Linked DNA regions of Saccharomyces cerevisiae S288C. The protein of the gene in region 1 binds, or shares a complex with, the protein of each later gene. Each region holds a gene or a part of one and is shown on either strand. Other genes may lie near its edges. The genes, in order: ESP1 and PDS1. A codon is read from its position in the direction of its gene.

Region 1 (10,164 bases):
TTACCACATCGTTCAATGTCAACTCGCCGATATGAGCAGAATCCCAGTTATCAAATAACCTTTGCAGAAAATTCCTTTTTTGTTTCCGGAAAGCTGGATCTTTGTCCTTTTCACACGGTCTACAGGAGTCACAGAATTTACTCAAGAACTGAATGAATACTTCGAAACCCATATTAGATGATCCCGTTCCCATACTAATTTTGTAGGTTTCTATACTTTGGTAAAACATGTCATAGATATTGGACAAGTCATCACTGGACAGGTTGAAAGTTTTTGGCATATGGCGCAGTTGCGTTCTTTTCATGAAAGTCTCAATGTTTTGAAAAATACCTTTCTCATATTTGTGTCTTGCATGCATTGCCATTTCCTCGCTGATGACACTAAACTCTTTGAAAGCCGTAACTAACAGCTCTTGAAATTTCGTGATTTGTCTATATTTTATATCGCTTGAATCTGGGTGAGCACTTTGTCCCAGAGTTTGGAAATAGTGCTTAATTATGGCAATGAACATTCCATCATCATCGGCTTGTAAGATATCATCTGCATTTATCTTCAGAACTGCTAATGCCACCTGAAATAGAGTAATAGAACCGTTCATAAAAAAAATATCCATTATTCTAACAGCATATTCTAGAGGCATTGAAGTGAAAAACAAAGACAAAAACCAAGGTAAAGACACCACAGATAGTTGAATATCATGCTGTAAAATGTATTCCCAAAGAACCGGCATTCTGTCCTCTACAAAAGACTCGAACACTCGTTGGTCTAACAATGTACCGTACATCGTCTTTGAGTAATAACCTGGAACATAGATGTCACATAGATTACACAAGCACCAAAAAGCCTGCTCTTCAGACATAAAGATTAAAAATCCTGCAACAACTATATTCATGGCCTGGCAATATCCAACATCAGGGTTCTTCCACGAATAAGCTGTCAGAACATTTCTCAACCTTTGAATACCTTCTTCAGTCTGGTATGCTGAGTATTCGGGCAGCGATCTCTTCAAATCCTTCTCAATTTCGTCGATAGCTTGCGATGTTTTACCAGCATTCTCGTTTAATATCCTTTCGTACTCCCCAGAATTTGCATAACGCATATACATTGCACCTGAACATAGTTCCCAAATTTCACCTCTCATTCGATTTGGAACACCGATTCTGATTAACTTTCGGAACATAGGAGTTTGCACAACTGCCAAATTCCTTCCATTCTCTCTGAAATAATCGAACCATAGCCTCAATTTAGCCTTTTCTTTTACCATAGTAGGATTACCGGGATACTTGAAATGTTGTCCTAGACCTGCCCTGGGTACAGTTATGTCCTTTTTACCTAGAATATTTTTAGCAATTAAGAACTCCGAATATGAGGTTTCTAGAAAAGCAGGTAAAGTTTTGGCATTAGGAATATTTTCTTTCAAATTTAGTTTCAATTTGTCACAAAACTGCTCCGATCTATAACGTATACCGATAAATTGAATCAGAACCTTTGCTCCTGTGTACAAAGTTACTAGAAGAGCAAATTCATATGATTCGGATGGCGACCTCTCTACACGTTTAATGGTAGAAATATTCAGTATTAGTACGCACGATGAATGATCAAATGCATCTCGAAATACCAGAAAATGAGGTGTTAAAAACAATCTCCCGGAATACACATAAGCAGTTTTTCTCCCTTTATTGTTCACTCTATCAGAATGCCCTTTTCCATCTTTAATGGAAGTTGCAAATGAAACTTCTGCATTCGTATCTTCCAAAATGTTTTCATTAGCTGGAAGTTTATATTTTAATCTGAATTTCTCATCTCTGGTTAATGTTGGAGTGAAACTGTCTGCCAGTTTATCCAAAAAGGGTGCCTTTTGACGTAAAGAATCAAAAAATGACATATCCTATCCTTTAACTAATAATTGTATCAACTCTGAGGTTGTTCGGTGCTTTAATTGATGGATCAGTGCTTTCAAAATGTACAATTTCTTAAATGTTGTTGGGCCCTTACCAAGCAGATTTGTTCAGGCCTTTTCTTATTGAAGTTCTTTTTCCCAGTTGCAGGAGTCGGCCGACCTTCTGAAATAATATGCTGTGCATTAAATACTAACGACGCTGACAGAGAACGCACTAAATTTATTCAAATATGTATCATAAGATTGGTACAAATAACTATGCTACTAACCTTTATTGAGAGAAATTCCTTCCTCTATGGCTGAACTAATTATATGATTCATCAACTCCGTCATGGATTCAAAATCGTGGACCGGGTTAGCGCAAGAGTATATGATACGCAGTGTTGTTAAATAATGCGACTTAAAAAGCTGATTGTATGTGCCTACGTCAATTCCATTAAGCCAACCGTGTGCTAGCGGATAGAAGAATAGACCAGCATATTTTCTAAAGCGGTTTTGCGTTCCTTTTTCTCGATCCTTGCCTAGTTTTCTAGATTTCCATACTGTTTTCGTCTTCTTTATCATACTTGTTGACTCTTGAACTTCAACAAGCCTACTATTATGATGGCTTTGATCATCCCACGGTAAACGATTTGTTGGAAAATCAAACTTGGGCTTGACAATAGTAGGATCATCAAGCCCTCTCAACTCTCTTGCAGAAAGACCCAGAGCCGACAATAGTGACATCCTTTGCTGTAACGACAGTTCTGAATTGAATAGAATATTTATAGCGCCATTCACCTTCTCTGGAAGGACGACCAGTATGCTTGTTAGAGCGTTTATTCTCCACTGCTCGAAAAGCGGTTCATCAAATTCATTATTCAAGCACACAATGCTTGACAGAATACCTTGTGCATAATAGCCAACCTCTAACTGAAAATCCGCCTTTTGCCGTATCAATTTCACTGTTTGCTTCAGAAGTGGTATCAATGGAGCTTTTCGAGATTCCCCAGTTTTTTCGTATTCTTTCATTAAATCTTTTAAAAATACAATTCGTTTAACAATCTCCCGCTCATCGTTCTCATCTTCATCATCGCTATCACTGCAGTCCAATGTAAGGCTTTGAACATGACCCGAGACCTCAGTAATCTTATCCTTACCCACATCAGTTTGGGTATTGCATATGGATGGATTTTTTAAAGATTGGAAATCAATGATTTTATCATCGCTATTGCTTTCGAATTTGACATTCGGTATATTGATTTTAAAATCACTTTCGTACTTCAGATGACCGCCTGATAAAAGCTTGGCAATAAACATCGCACGCTCCCTTGCCTCACGTTCATTGCTACCTAAATGTTTGGTCACGCCATTCAAAAACCGCTCATCGTGTGCTATTTCCTCTCTCTGGGAATGATTGAGATTGTGCACTGCAAAGAGTACAAGCAATTCACATGTCTTTGTGTCTACTTCCTCATCTGTAAAATCAGCAAATTTACTTACCAAAGCGCTAACAAACTTCGTGGAAGAGTGGTTGCTCATCAGACGTACTATCACTTCCTTCAATGGCAGCGACTGTATTTCAAATAATACGGACAGACTTATGATTTTATCGAGATCAAACCGCCGCAGAATTTTCCTAACATCGTTCAAATTTTCTAAAGTCACGATAACTTGAATATATGGTAATAAAAACTTAGCAATCAGCCTCTTTTGATCTATCAGACTACTAGCAGATATGATTTTCTGAAAAGAAAAGAAATACGACTCTTTCAATAAAAATAATTCGCCTAATAACATATCTGCCGCTAGCACTGGGTTAAGCAAAAATGATGAAACTAACCATTCCCCTAAAAACCCAGGTGGATCTGTTTCATTACTCTCAAGTAGAAATTTCCACTGAAGCCGAAGGTATCCCAAATATTTCGCCATATCAATTCGGTTGGCCAACACATTAAATAACTTGCTCCCAAAGAAAAGGGCCTTAATGCTATCACGGTCTGCTTTGCTAGTAGTGCTTGCCTTTAAATAAAAAGTCAAACATCCCGGTTCAAAACTGATGATGTCTTCTAAAATTTCTTGGTATATGCGTATCTCTTGCAGTCCATCGCGGCCACTTATTGTCCTTGAGAAGGTGACAATTTGGCATAAAAATGTAAACGATTTAGAAGCTAGCCGTCTCAATATCACCTTCGATCTTTCTGGTAGTGATGGATAAACTGGAATTACGAATTTTATGAGAACCATCGAGGCATCTAGATCCACCGGTTCGCGAGGATAGGAATCTAGTTGTATTAAAGCTTCATGTATTTGACTGCTGTCAAGCCCTTGTTTCAGCGTTTCTAAAACCATTTCATGAGGAATTAAATGCGTATAAAGTAGCTCGATTCACGTTCTATTAGCGGCAACCTGTCCACAAGTACTTATTGTCTGCATTTCTTGGTGTTTGTTTTTATTTTCTTTCTTTTCAAACTTCACGGGTCTTTACAGAAAAGAGGTAAACAAACAAAAACAAGAACATGGATACAAAGCCCATCCACGTAACATTGCGCATTTGAAGCGAGAAGCTTACCACAATTAGTTAAATTCCTTTTGGAGGAATATAGACACTCTATCATCAGAAACATCCGAATTATTTTAGTTAGGACACGTTTCACAGGAGCATCTGGCTATAGCATATTTTTCTTTTCCTTCTAACTGCGAGCATAGTAAAAAGTTGACCTAAACCCAACATTTTTGAGGCTAACCTAGTAATAATTTAACCTAGGCACGAAGTGCTTATAAATTAAGGAATGATGGTAAAACAGGAGGAACCGCTGAATGAGATTAGTCCGAATACTCCGATGACTAGCAAGTCCTACCTTTTAAACGACACGCTTTCGAAAGTACATCATAGTGGCCAAACTAGACCACTGACCTCGGTGTTGTCTGGAGACGCCTCATCCAATTCTATTGGCATACTAGCAATGCATAATAACATAATACGTGACTTTACAAAAATTGCAAGCAATAACATAGACTTAGCCATTGAGGATATTACCACTGTTGACCATTCATTAAATTCAATATATAGCCTATTGAAGAGCCATCACATGTGGGGCCATATAAACTCCACTGTTAAACAACATTTGATGATAATTGTTAAACTAATAAATAATAACGCATTAGGATTGGCCTCCTCTGAAATTATTTTTCTTTTCAATGAAACGAATTTATTTCAAGCTCATAGTCTGAAAAACATTCTTCTAGCAGACTTCAGTACGTGGAACGACTACTATCTTTCAAATCTGAAAATATTAGCGCTGCAGATTATACTGAAAAGAAAGCTAGTAGACGAATACTTACCGCATATATTAGAACTATTTTCCCATGATAAAAGATATCTTTTGAAAGACCCTAACCTCAAAGCTCACGCTCTCACAAAAATCGTGCTGAGCTTTTTTTCTGTCACGACGAGTTGCAAAGTTCTATTCGGGCTAAAATTTCTACAATATATCAAACAGTTCAAATTACCTTTTAAAAAGTTCATTAGCAACATTACCGTCGAGTGTTTTAGCAAAAACCTTCTTCATAAAAATTATTTGGAGATGGGACCTAATAAAATATATTTAAATTCATTTTACTTATCCTATTCCATGCTGTACGATGGATTGGATAAAATAATGCTTCTAGACATTTTAAGTTACGAAGAAACTACTGAGGTACAAAGAGCGATAAAAAGTAAAAAAGAATTCAATGAATACTGCAACATGAGTGAAAACCGTCTTCTCTGGTCCTGTATATCTGTCGATGATTTGAACGTAATACTCGAAAATGCAACGAATTTTCTACAAAATAAAGGGAAACATATATCCGCAACATTAAAATGTTTAGTCTGTCTTTGGTCTACTATTCGCCTAGAGGGATTACCTAAAAATAAGGATATATTGAGGCAGTTTGATTGTACTGTTATTTATATCAACTCAAATATTAAATCCATTAATGACGAATCTGCGGCGGCATTATTATCCGAACTTCTGGGAGTTTTATCAGAAATTTGTATCGATTATAAAGAGCCTAAACGACTGTCAAATATTATCAGTGTCCTTTTCAATGCTTCTGTTTTATTTAAGAGTCATTCGTTTTTGTTAAAGACTGCTAATTTGGAAATCTCAAATGTTTTAATCAGTAATGATTCAAAAACATCTCATCGTACTATACTGAAATTTGAAAAATTTATATCTAGTGCTCAGAGTGCCCAGAAAAAAATTGAAATCTTTTCCTGTTTGTTCAATGTATATTGCATGCTACGAAATGATACGCTATCATTTGTTTTTGACTTTTGCCAAAATGCATTCATTCATTGCTTTACACGCCTAAAAATCACAAAATTCATCGAGTTTTCAAACAGTTCAGAAATTATGCTTTCAGTACTGTATGGAAATTCATCTATCGAAAACATTCCTTCCGAAAATTGGTCACAACTAAGCAGAATGATATTTTGCTCACTGAGGGGTATCTTTGATTTGGATCCTTTAGAGCTAAATAATACGTTTGATAAATTACACTTGCTCAACAAATATGAGCTATTAATACGAATAGTGTACCTATTGAACCTGGACATGAGTAAACACCTGACAACGAATCTATCGAAAATAACTAAGCTGTACATAAACAAATGGCTACAAAAATCAGATGAAAAGGCCGAGAGAATATCGTCATTTGAAATGGACTTCGTTAAAATGCTATTGTGCTACTTGAACTTTAATAATTTTGATAAGTTATCCATTGAACTTTCACTCTGTATTAAATCAAAAGAAAAGTATTACTCCAGTATTGTGCCTTATGCCGACAATTATTTGCTAGAGGCTTATCTGAGCTTATATATGATTGATGATGCCCTCATGATGAAGAATCAACTACAAAAAACAATGAATTTATCAACGGCGAAAATAGAGCAGGCGTTATTACATGCAAGTTCTTTAATAAATGTCCACTTGTGGGACTCTGACTTGACAGCGTTTCAAATATATTTTGGAAAAACACTGCCTGCTATGAAGCCTGAATTATTTGATATCAATAACGACCACAACCTACCCATGTCACTTTACATCAAAGTCATACTTTTGAACATAAAAATTTTTAATGAAAGCGCGAAATTAAATATTAAAGCTGGTAATGTTATATCCGCAGTAATTGATTGTAGAAAAGCACAAAATTTAGCATTATCGTTGCTCAAAAAGAAGAACAAATTGTCACAAGGATCCAGGCTAGCATTACTAAAAAGTCTATCGTTTAGTTTTTTCCAACTCATTAAAATACATATACGCATTGGTTCTGCCAGAGACTGTGAGTTCTACAGTAAAGAACTGTCTAGAATTATTTCTGACTTAGAGGAACCTATTATCGTCTACAGATGTCTGCATTTTCTTCACAGATACTATATGATTACAGAGCAAACCTGTCTTCAAAATATAACTTTGGGAAAAGCCAATAAGGCATTTGATTATCTTGATGCTGAGGCAGACATTACAAGTTTGACAATGTTTCTGTATGATAATAAGGAATTTGTAAAGTTAGAGCAGTCGTTGGTCCTATATTTCGGTGACCAGCTAGAAAAAACATTCCTACCTAATTTGTGGAAGCTTCACTTGGGTAAGGATATTGACGACAGCATTTGTCTGTCCGAATATATGCCCAAAAATGTAATCAATAGAGTACACAATATGTGGCAAAAAGTAATGAGCCAATTGGAGGAAGATCCTTTCTTCAAAGGTATGTTTGAATCTACCCTTGGGATTCCCTCTTCTCTGCCTGTTATTCCTAGCACGATGCCCAACAACATTTTAAAAACTCCTTCCAAGCATAGTACAGGATTGAAGCTTTGCGATTCACCAAGATCGTCGAGCATGACGCCTAGAGGTAAGAATATAAGACAGAAATTTGATAGAATTGCTGCTATTAGTAAATTAAAACAGATGAAAGAACTTTTGGAGAGTTTGAAACTAGACACATTAGATAATCACGAACTGTCCAAAATTTCCTCCCTTTCTTCATTAACTCTGACTATCCTTTCAAACATAACTAGTATCCATAATGCTGAGAGTAGTTTGATAACTAATTTTTCGCTAACTGACTTGCCAAGGCATATGCCTTTGTTATTCGATAAGGTATTGAATAATATTGATAATAAAAATTACCGAGAATTTCGCGTTTCATCACTAATAGCTCCGAACAATATATCCACAATTACAGAGAGTATTAGAGTATCTGCCGCCCAGAAGGACTTAATGGAGAGCAACCTTAATATTAATGTTATAACTATTGACTTCTGTCCCATAACTGGAAATTTACTTCTATCCAAATTAGAACCGCGACGTAAGAGAAGGACGCATTTAAGGCTACCGCTAATACGATCTAATTCAAGAGACCTCGACGAAGTTCATCTCTCATTTCCGGAGGCTACAAAAAAACTACTTTCTATTATCAATGAAAGCAACCAAACGACGTCAGTGGAAGTTACCAACAAGATTAAAACAAGAGAAGAAAGAAAATCTTGGTGGACCACAAGATATGATTTGGATAAAAGAATGCAACAATTGTTGAATAACATTGAAAATAGTTGGTTCAATGGCGTTCAAGGGTTTTTTAGCCCTGAAGTAGTCGACAACTCGTTATTTGAAAAATTTAAAGATAAATTTTACGAAATTCTGCATCAAAATCTTCCTTCCAGAAAACTCTATGGCAATCCGGCAATGTTTATAAAAGTTGAAGATTGGGTAATCGAATTGTTCTTGAAACTTAATCCGCAAGAAATCGATTTTCTTTCGAAGATGGAAGACCTGATATACTTTGTTCTTGATATTCTTCTCTTCCATGGTGAAGAAAATGCTTACGACGAAATTGATTTCAGCATGCTTCACGTGCAGTTAGAAGAGCAAATAAAGAAATATAGGGCAACTATGACAACTAATAGTATATTTCATACATTTTTAGTCGTTAGCAGTTCATGCCATTTATTCCCTTGGGAGTGTCTTTCATTTTTGAAAGATTTGTCTATCACACGTGTTCCGTCCTATGTTTGTCTGAATAAACTTTTATCGCGTTTCCATTACCAACTACCCCTTCAAGTAACTATTGAGGACAACATTAGTATGATATTAAATCCGAACGGAGATTTGTCCAGGACTGAATCTAAATTCAAGGGTATGTTCCAAAAAATAATCGATGCAAAACCTTCCTCTCAATTAGTGATGAACGAGAAGCCGGAAGAGGAAACACTTTTGAAAATGCTGCAAAATTCTAACTTATTCGTTTATATAGGGCATGGCGGAGGTGAACAATATGTAAGGAGTAAGGAGATTAAGAAATGCACCAAAATTGCCCCCAGCTTTTTACTGGGCTGCTCTTCAGCAGCGATGAAATATTACGGCAAGTTAGAACCTACTGGAACAATCTATACTTATTTGCTGGGAGGATGCCCTATGGTACTAGGTAATCTGTGGGATGTAACTGACAAAGATATTGATAAATTTAGCGAGGAACTTTTTGAAAAGATGGGATTTCGCTGTAATACTGACGATTTGAATGGTAATAGCCTATCTGTTTCATATGCCGTCTCTAAATCTAGAGGTGTATGCCATCTACGTTACTTGAACGGCGCAGCTCCTGTTATTTATGGGTTACCGATCAAGTTCGTATCATAATTGTTACATGTACTGGCTGTTTCGAAAAGATTTCATATAGGCATTGAGAAAAAGCATGGGAAATCCGATTTTGTTCTTATATCCAAAAATAATAAGTAAAAGAACCTGGGATTGATAAAAAAGTTTCATCTTTTTAGTATAGTTCATAATAGTAATTTTCATTTCATTATTGGGCACCTCATGGTGCGATACAAATATTTTAAGATTGCTTATATAATCACGAACACCTTTACGTACCATCCCAAACTACCACACAGTTGTTAGTTCACATACCATTGACACAAAGTCATAGCAGGAATTAAAAACACGAAACATCTATATTCTATAGGAGTTGCATTATAAAAATATGAATAAAAAACGGTGCTTAGAAAATAAACGGCGAACCATACAGGCTGTTTCTCAAAAGAGAACAAAAGTTAAGGCGTAACAATTAAGAATAAATCGACTGGTTTAGCTTTATAGTATCATTATTAGTTGAATCACCATCATCTTCTTGAATTCCACCACTCATAAATTGGTTAGTCATTAGATTACCACCGTGATTTGCACCCTTTTTTGAAAACATTAAACTATTCAAAGAACTAAATGATACGTTTTTCT
Region 2 (6,550 bases), on another chromosome or scaffold:
AGATCTTGTTGCCAAAATTAAAAGCGGTGAAATTAGCGTTGATTTTGACAAAGCATTTGCAACTCCTGATATTGTTCCAGCTTTACAATCGCAGGTGGCCAGGATACTTGGTCCTCGTGGGGTTTTACCCTCTGTCAAAAAAGGTACGGTGAGTGATGATATAAGCTCCTTACTTCAAGAAAGTCTAGGATCTATGCCTTTCAGGCAAAGGGGAAACTCTATCAGCATTGGAGTCGGCAAATGCTACTTCACTGATCGAGAAATTTTACAAAACATTATATCCGCTAGAGCGGCATTTAAAACTGCTGTTGATAATCAAAAATCTAAGAAACCAAATATACTGAGTAAAACCACATTATCAAGCACACATGGCCCCGGTATTGTAATCGATTTTGCTTAATCAGCGAATCAGTTTTGTCTTGTTGGACTTTTTTAATTGTATATATATATATACTGGTGCATTTTCTTTCTTTTTATATAAAATCATGTACATACAAAGTAACCGTCTTTTTAAAGTGGAATAAAGTAACTGCTCTTTTATTTTTGAATAATAGTGAAAGTGTATGTTGCATAATCATTAGATACCTATGTACAAGAAGTATTCAAATTTATCTGAATAGTATGTGAAATTTCAATGAGACAAAAACCACCTACCTTTGAGCTTCCTCCTTTTCAATATCTTAGAGCCCTGTTTGCTCTTGGCCCTAGCCAAGAAACCAAAAGTTCTCTTCCGTTTCAATGTACTAGGTTGATAGGTGTTACCCCTTGATTTCCATCTTCTTTGACCTATTAAGCCAAATCCCAACGGTGTGAAGGACGGAGTCTTCAATGGTGAACTGTTTAAGAGCATACCGGTTTGTGGGCGTAACACAGATAGAGCAGAGAAAGAAGATATAGATGAAAACATTCTTCTTGATTGAGGCTGGCAGAGCCTTGCAAATAGTGGCATTCCGTCCTGCGATTACTACTGTTCTATTCCAACGTTTCTCAGTGAGTTTCTCCTGTAGTTATTTCACTTGTTGTACCTCACAGCTTCTACGGGAAAATTGGCTTTTCAAATTCCTTACAGCTTTCGATCACGTGATCCGAGCTTCAAATGACCTTTCGACGATGCGTTTCATGATTATGTATATATATGTATATATATATATCTATACAGTCTTAAGGAAGCGCTTAAGTTGTTACATGTTAATACTTTAGGGTTGGATTTATTTTACGGATAACATAGGATTTGCGAGAAATATCTGCTTCACTATCACTTTCCGTGCGACGTGTGTATTTGTTAGCGTAGGTTGCTTATCGTTTTCACACAAAGATCTCAAACGCGTCAAAAAACTCGTGTAAGAGGTCAAAAAGAAAAACAAACAAAATAAACAAACAAAATAAATGCAGCTTTAAATCAATATTCGGCGAAGGCAAGTAACGGTTGCTAGCGGTTTTTCCCATTCACATACTATTACACTTCTGCGGTACCAAGCTAGATTAAGTGCTAGATAATAAACCTTTATGATGCCAGCTAACGAAGATAAAGAGAATAATATCGTATATACAGGGAATGAAAGTTCCGGCATTAACTTTCCACAGACGCCGGCTCACTTGCTGAAAAGGTCGCACTCTAATATTTTAAAACCACCTGTAAGATTGGACCAACTCAAAAGGGATGCGAACAGCAACAATGGCAACACATTAAAGTACATACAAGGAGGGAAGGAGGTGTCACCCACAAAAAGGTTGCATACCCATGCGCAACAACAAGGAAGATTGCCTCTGGCAGCAAAAGACAACAATAGATCGAAAAGCTTTATTTTTCCCGAAACTTCTAATCAGAGTAAAGATGCAGACTTACCACAACTACAGAATACACTATCTATACGCAAAAACGACCAACTCAGGAAACTTTCGCAAATTTCTCGCAGTCGTAGTAGGGCCAACCATAATGATTTGTTAAGCAATTCAAGAAAGTTACAAAAGTACGGTTCTGTCCTTGGTTATAATGCTTTACCTAAAATGAAAAGTCTAGTTTTAAAAGATCTTGCAGATTCAGGTAAAAATGAAGAGAGTTCCGACGATGATGAAGGTAATGAAGATTCCGAGAGTAAACTTGGCAAAAAACTCCAAAGTGCACTTTTAAAACAGGATTCCTCCGACGGTGAAAATGAATTAAATGGTGGCCTAGGACTATTTAATGAGCAAGGTGGTCTGCAACAACTCATAAAGAACTCCACGAAGAATGAGCAAAAAACTAAAAACGATAAAAGTGATAAAACTGATGACTATGATATCGAAATAGCACCACAGAGGCAGGAGCCGTTACCGTATGTACCAGAAGGCTATTCCCCATTTCAACAAGATGATATTGAAAAGCTGAAGACGTTCAACTCACCATATAAGCTTGACTTGGAAGACGAAGATGACACCCCAGATAAAGTTGATTTACTCCCACTAGAACAAATTGATGAAGAAGGCGAAAAAGATGAGACTGAGTGCATCACTCGGAATCAAGAAGAAGGTGCAGCGTTACCACTGCTGTCTAAGAACTTCAAAGAAGTTGCCGCCGTCCCAACCATGGAGTTAGTGTACAGCGAAGAAGGCCTCGATCCTGAAGAACTAGAGGACTTAGTTACTTAGATCCACTGCTCATTCACATACACACAACATATATACACGTATATACAGATACTTTATAACATACAATTCTGGTTAAAAGCGGTTGCTCCTGCCGCCGGGATTTAATCTGCGGCCTCACCCATACCTCAACTACCGCCATTGTTCGTACGTTTTAAATGGCTTCGCTTCACCCTTGATTGGCAAAGGGTCCAAGAGGGATCACATCACGATACTATTGTTTCTACTAATGTGCTGCGGGCTGATGTCCTCCACACGTCTTCAATTGCTTCTCTTTATGGGTTCTCAAAGTACTTCGTCATAATTACTTCATTATACCTAAGAAAATAATTTCATTTTTTTTCTGAATTTTTTAGCAGAAAAAAAAAAAGTTCAAGTTTGGCCTCATTCGCAATATTTTCTCCATGGAAACGGCTTGTATCTTGAGGCTTCTCCTACTTGTTTGGCGATTTTATTTTATTTTTCCTACTCTTATGGTCCCATATGTACATCTACATATCTCTTCAAATTACCAATACACTTTTAGGATAGCTAAATTTACTACTTCGTGTGGGAACTATATTCTGTTCACTTTTCTTTTTGATCCTTTCTTGACTGACATCATCCTTTTCTCATTCAGTAAATACCCCAATATTTCCTCATATCTCTAGAGGCATAAAAGATAAGAATAAAGGGAAGGAGCGCCACAGTAGTGTTGTTTTTGTAAGTGGTAAACACAGAAGAAGTAAGAACACATGACAATGACACACCAACAGGATTTGAAAGGTGTGTTCACCGCAAAGGATTTGGATTTTAAGCCCGCTGGCAAGATTACTAAAAAAGATTTGAATACAGGTGTCACTAAGGCAGAATATGCTGTAAGAGGAGCTATTCCAACCAGAGCTGACGAGCTAAAAGAGGAATTGAAAAAAAACCCAGAAGTTTTGCCTTTCGATGATATTATCAATGCGAACATTGGTAATCCGCAGCAACTGGATCAGAAGCCTTTGACCTTTACCAGGCAAGTACTGGCCATCCTGGAGTACCCGGAAATTTTACGAGTAGGCCATAATGAACTGGCTTCTTTGAACTTGTTTTCCAGGGACGCCTTGGAAAGAGCTGAGCGCCTCTTGAATGATATTGGCGGTTCTATAGGGGCATATTCGCATTCTCAAGGTGTGCCAGGAATAAGGCAAACAGTTGCTGACTTCATTACTAGAAGAGACGGCGGTGAGCCCGCTACACCGGAAGATATTTATTTAACCACTGGCGCTTCGTCCGCGGCAACTTCTTTGTTATCTTTATTGTGTAAAGATTCTCAAACAGGCCTGCTGATTCCAATTCCGCAGTATCCGCTTTATACTGCATCCGCATCTCTTTTCAATGCACAAGTGCTGCCATACTACTTAGATGAGGAGTCAAATTGGTCTACAAACAGCGACGAAATTGAAAAAGTAGTGCAAGATGCTTTGAAAAAACAGATCAGACCATCTGTGCTGATAGTTATTAATCCAGGTAACCCAACCGGTGCAGTTCTTTCTGAAGAAACCATTGCCAGGATCTGTTTGATCGCTGCGAAATACGGCATTACAATCATTTCTGATGAGGTCTATCAAGAAAACATTTTCAACGATGTTAAATTTCATTCGATGAAGAAAGTCCTAAGAAAATTGCAGCATCTTTATCCAGGAAAATTCGATAACGTTCAGCTCGCCTCTTTACACTCCATTTCTAAAGGATTCATGGATGAGTGCGGCCAAAGAGGCGGTTACATGGAAATTATTGGGTTTTCTCAAGAAATAAGAGATGCTCTTTTCAAACTCATGTCTATATCCATATGTTCTGTTGTCACAGGACAAGCTGTGGTTGATTTAATGGTCAAACCACCCCAGCCTGGAGACGAGTCCTATGAACAAGATCATGACGAAAGGCTGAAAATTTTTCATGAAATGCGTACGAGAGCAAACTTATTGTACGAGACGTTTAAGGAACTAGAGGGTATCGAATGCCAAAAACCTCAGGGTGCAATGTATCTTTTCCCTAGGCTTGTTTTACCTAAGAAAGCTCTTTGTGAAAGCGAACGCCTTGGCATCGAACCTGATGAGTTCTATTGCACATCTTTGCTAGAATCTACAGGTATTTGTACTGTCCCAGGGTCTGGGTTCGGACAAAGACCCGGGACTTATCATGTGCGAACAACGTTTTTGGCTCCAGGGACTAAATGGATTCAAGACTGGAAAGAATTTCATCAAGATTTCTTCAGCAAGTATCGTAATTGAATGAAAAAAAAAAACTAATGATAATGGCTTTCTATTTGTTTTGCATCCATGGTGGGGGTGAAGTTTAAATTTGTAATAGTATACATGCATCATTCTTTACTAAGGGAAATAAGGAAAAGTATATATCTGCCTCTTGTAATATTGTTCAAGGAAATAAATTTTGGAGCATTCCTCTGCATCTATTGTTCAATTAAAAAAAAAAAAAAAAAAAAAAAAAAAAAAAAAAAGTAATTATTCATATAAAACCACCTTGCGGGCAAGATCATATTATCCAAGTTGATACTTATTTAAAAATATAAAAATTTTTTAACCGCGTACATTAAATACAGGGTCATATACAGGAAGAGCTTTCAACACCTTTTTGAATACTTTATATGCAATAGGTGCTTTTTTTTTTCACCTATGGTGACTCCTCCTTTCATTCTATCCTACATATTATTACAATTCCATTGATGTGCCAAAGTCTCTTGTTTGATCTCCATTACCCTGTTGGTCTAATTTCTGTCGTTTTGTTGACGGCGATTCCAGAGTTTGATAGTAGGAAGTTTCTGGTCTAGTTATTTCGACACTTTGATCTACTTGTGATGCACCGTCACTTTCTTTTTGATCCCCTTTTTCAGGCTCTTCTGTTCCCTGCATTGGGGCTGCCACGCCGGTGGACTCTATTCGGTCCTCATCGACATTATGAGGAGGCTTTTCTTCGGGAGTTAAGGTATTAGGTTCAAATTCGCCCTCTGAAGAATCATGTGCCAAATCATCATACTCATCGATATAGTTTTTTTCAGTTAGATCAAATTGTTTTTGCACTTCTTCTTCAAAGTTATCATTTCCTATATTGTTATTATGAAGAATTCCATTATTGTTACAGCTATTATCCGCTTCATTAGCAAGGGCAAAAGTATTGACATCTTCCAAATATATAAGACCTTTTCCACCTGCCATCTTGAACATATTACGGGAATATGTGTTTTCTATAACCCTTTCTCTCTTAGTCTCAAACTTGGCATTGTGACCTGGAACTTCACTAAGTAGTACTTGCACAGGTTTACGTTTCGTTCTCTTATTTCTCCTTCGGTTGAATCTGTAAGGGCCATATCTTAGGCACTTACCCCAATCGGCTAGACATTCCTTCTTATAACTATTTAGAGCATACTGAATGCACAGTATACCCCCAGTATGAAATCTCGCAGAACTCTTCAAACCCAAGCCAATACGGAGACCGTATTTTGATGCAATTTCTTCACAAATATCATAAAGATCATCTTTATCTAAAGTGCTTGATGTTACGAAAATTGGAACCCTAGCAAATGTTAAAAAAAGTGAGGAAACAACTGGGATAAGATGTTTGAATTTGGTACTCTTAAGTGGTAATAACCACATAAAACTAGAGCGATAGTCTCGGCATAAAAGGACATAAGAATATTTTCCCTCAATAGCTTCTCCATTGAAGGGTTCGAATACCTCAATATGTATCCTTTCCATTGGTAGTAGTTTATCGTACATGTCAGGACGTTTATATTCCTTCAATGGTTTAATTTTGCCCTTTTTATTACATTTTGAACAAAATTGCTGGACCCAATCGATGATGGCATGACTAATATTGGCAAAATGAGAAAATAAAAAGGAATGTAATGTTTTACCCCTAAGATGCTTATTCATCAAGTGTG

What was found.
Region 2: the proteins of ESP1 (region 1) and PDS1 are in contact, whole or in part, in a crystal structure (PDB 5U1S), measured with the Saccharomyces cerevisiae proteins. Residues at the interface, in NP_011612.3 of Saccharomyces cerevisiae: Lys110 (codon at 4,999), Leu113 (codon at 5,008), Met114 (codon at 5,011), Val117 (codon at 5,020), Lys118 (codon at 5,023), Ile120 (codon at 5,029), Asn121 (codon at 5,032), Asn165 (codon at 5,164), Ile168 (codon at 5,173), Leu169 (codon at 5,176), Gln172 (codon at 5,185), Lys176 (codon at 5,197), Lys205 (codon at 5,284), His207 (codon at 5,290), Ala208 (codon at 5,293), Lys211 (codon at 5,302), Ile212 (codon at 5,305), Arg380 (codon at 5,809), Asp383 (codon at 5,818), Val386 (codon at 5,827), Ile387 (codon at 5,830), Asn390 (codon at 5,839), Lys423 (codon at 5,938), Arg424 (codon at 5,941), Asn427 (codon at 5,950), Ser430 (codon at 5,959), Val431 (codon at 5,962), Phe433 (codon at 5,968), Asn434 (codon at 5,971), Val437 (codon at 5,980); in NP_010398.3 of Saccharomyces cerevisiae: Asp258 (codon at 2,278), Ile259 (codon at 2,281), Glu260 (codon at 2,284), Ile261 (codon at 2,287), Ala262 (codon at 2,290), Pro263 (codon at 2,293), Gln264 (codon at 2,296), Arg265 (codon at 2,299), Gln266 (codon at 2,302), Glu267 (codon at 2,305), Pro268 (codon at 2,308), Leu269 (codon at 2,311), Pro270 (codon at 2,314), Tyr271 (codon at 2,317), Val272 (codon at 2,320), Pro273 (codon at 2,323), Glu274 (codon at 2,326), Gly275 (codon at 2,329), Tyr276 (codon at 2,332), Ser277 (codon at 2,335), Pro278 (codon at 2,338), Phe279 (codon at 2,341), Gln280 (codon at 2,344), Gln281 (codon at 2,347), Asp283 (codon at 2,353), Ile284 (codon at 2,356), Lys286 (codon at 2,362), Leu287 (codon at 2,365), Lys288 (codon at 2,368), Thr289 (codon at 2,371).

The regions. Positions count from the first base shown.
Region 1 is NC_001139.9:681,966-692,129, reverse strand, and holds ESP1 (separase), read left to right. Parts: upstream 1-4,671; coding exon 4,672-9,564; downstream 9,565-10,164. Other genes in the region: GTPase-activating protein MDR1, read right to left, coding at 1-1,885; TEL2 (Tel2p), read right to left, coding at 2,165-4,231; ASK10 (Ask10p), read right to left, coding at 9,995-10,164. UniProt on the Saccharomyces cerevisiae protein: Caspase-like protease, which plays a central role in the chromosome segregation by cleaving the MCD1/SCC1 subunit of the cohesin complex at the onset of anaphase. During most of the cell cycle, it is inactivated by securin/PDS1 protein.
Region 2 is NC_001136.10:676,574-683,123, reverse strand, and holds PDS1 (securin), read left to right. Parts: upstream 1-1,506; coding exon 1,507-2,628; downstream 2,629-6,550. Other genes in the region: mitochondrial 54S ribosomal protein uL1m MRPL1, read left to right, coding at 1-400; mitochondrial 54S ribosomal protein bL34m MRX14, read right to left, coding at 632-949; YDR114C (uncharacterized protein), read left to right, coding at 898-1,200; alanine transaminase ALT2, read left to right, coding at 3,360-4,883; replication fork barrier binding protein FOB1, read right to left, coding at 5,322-6,550. UniProt on the Saccharomyces cerevisiae protein: Regulatory protein, which plays a central role in chromosome stability. Probably acts by blocking the action of key proteins.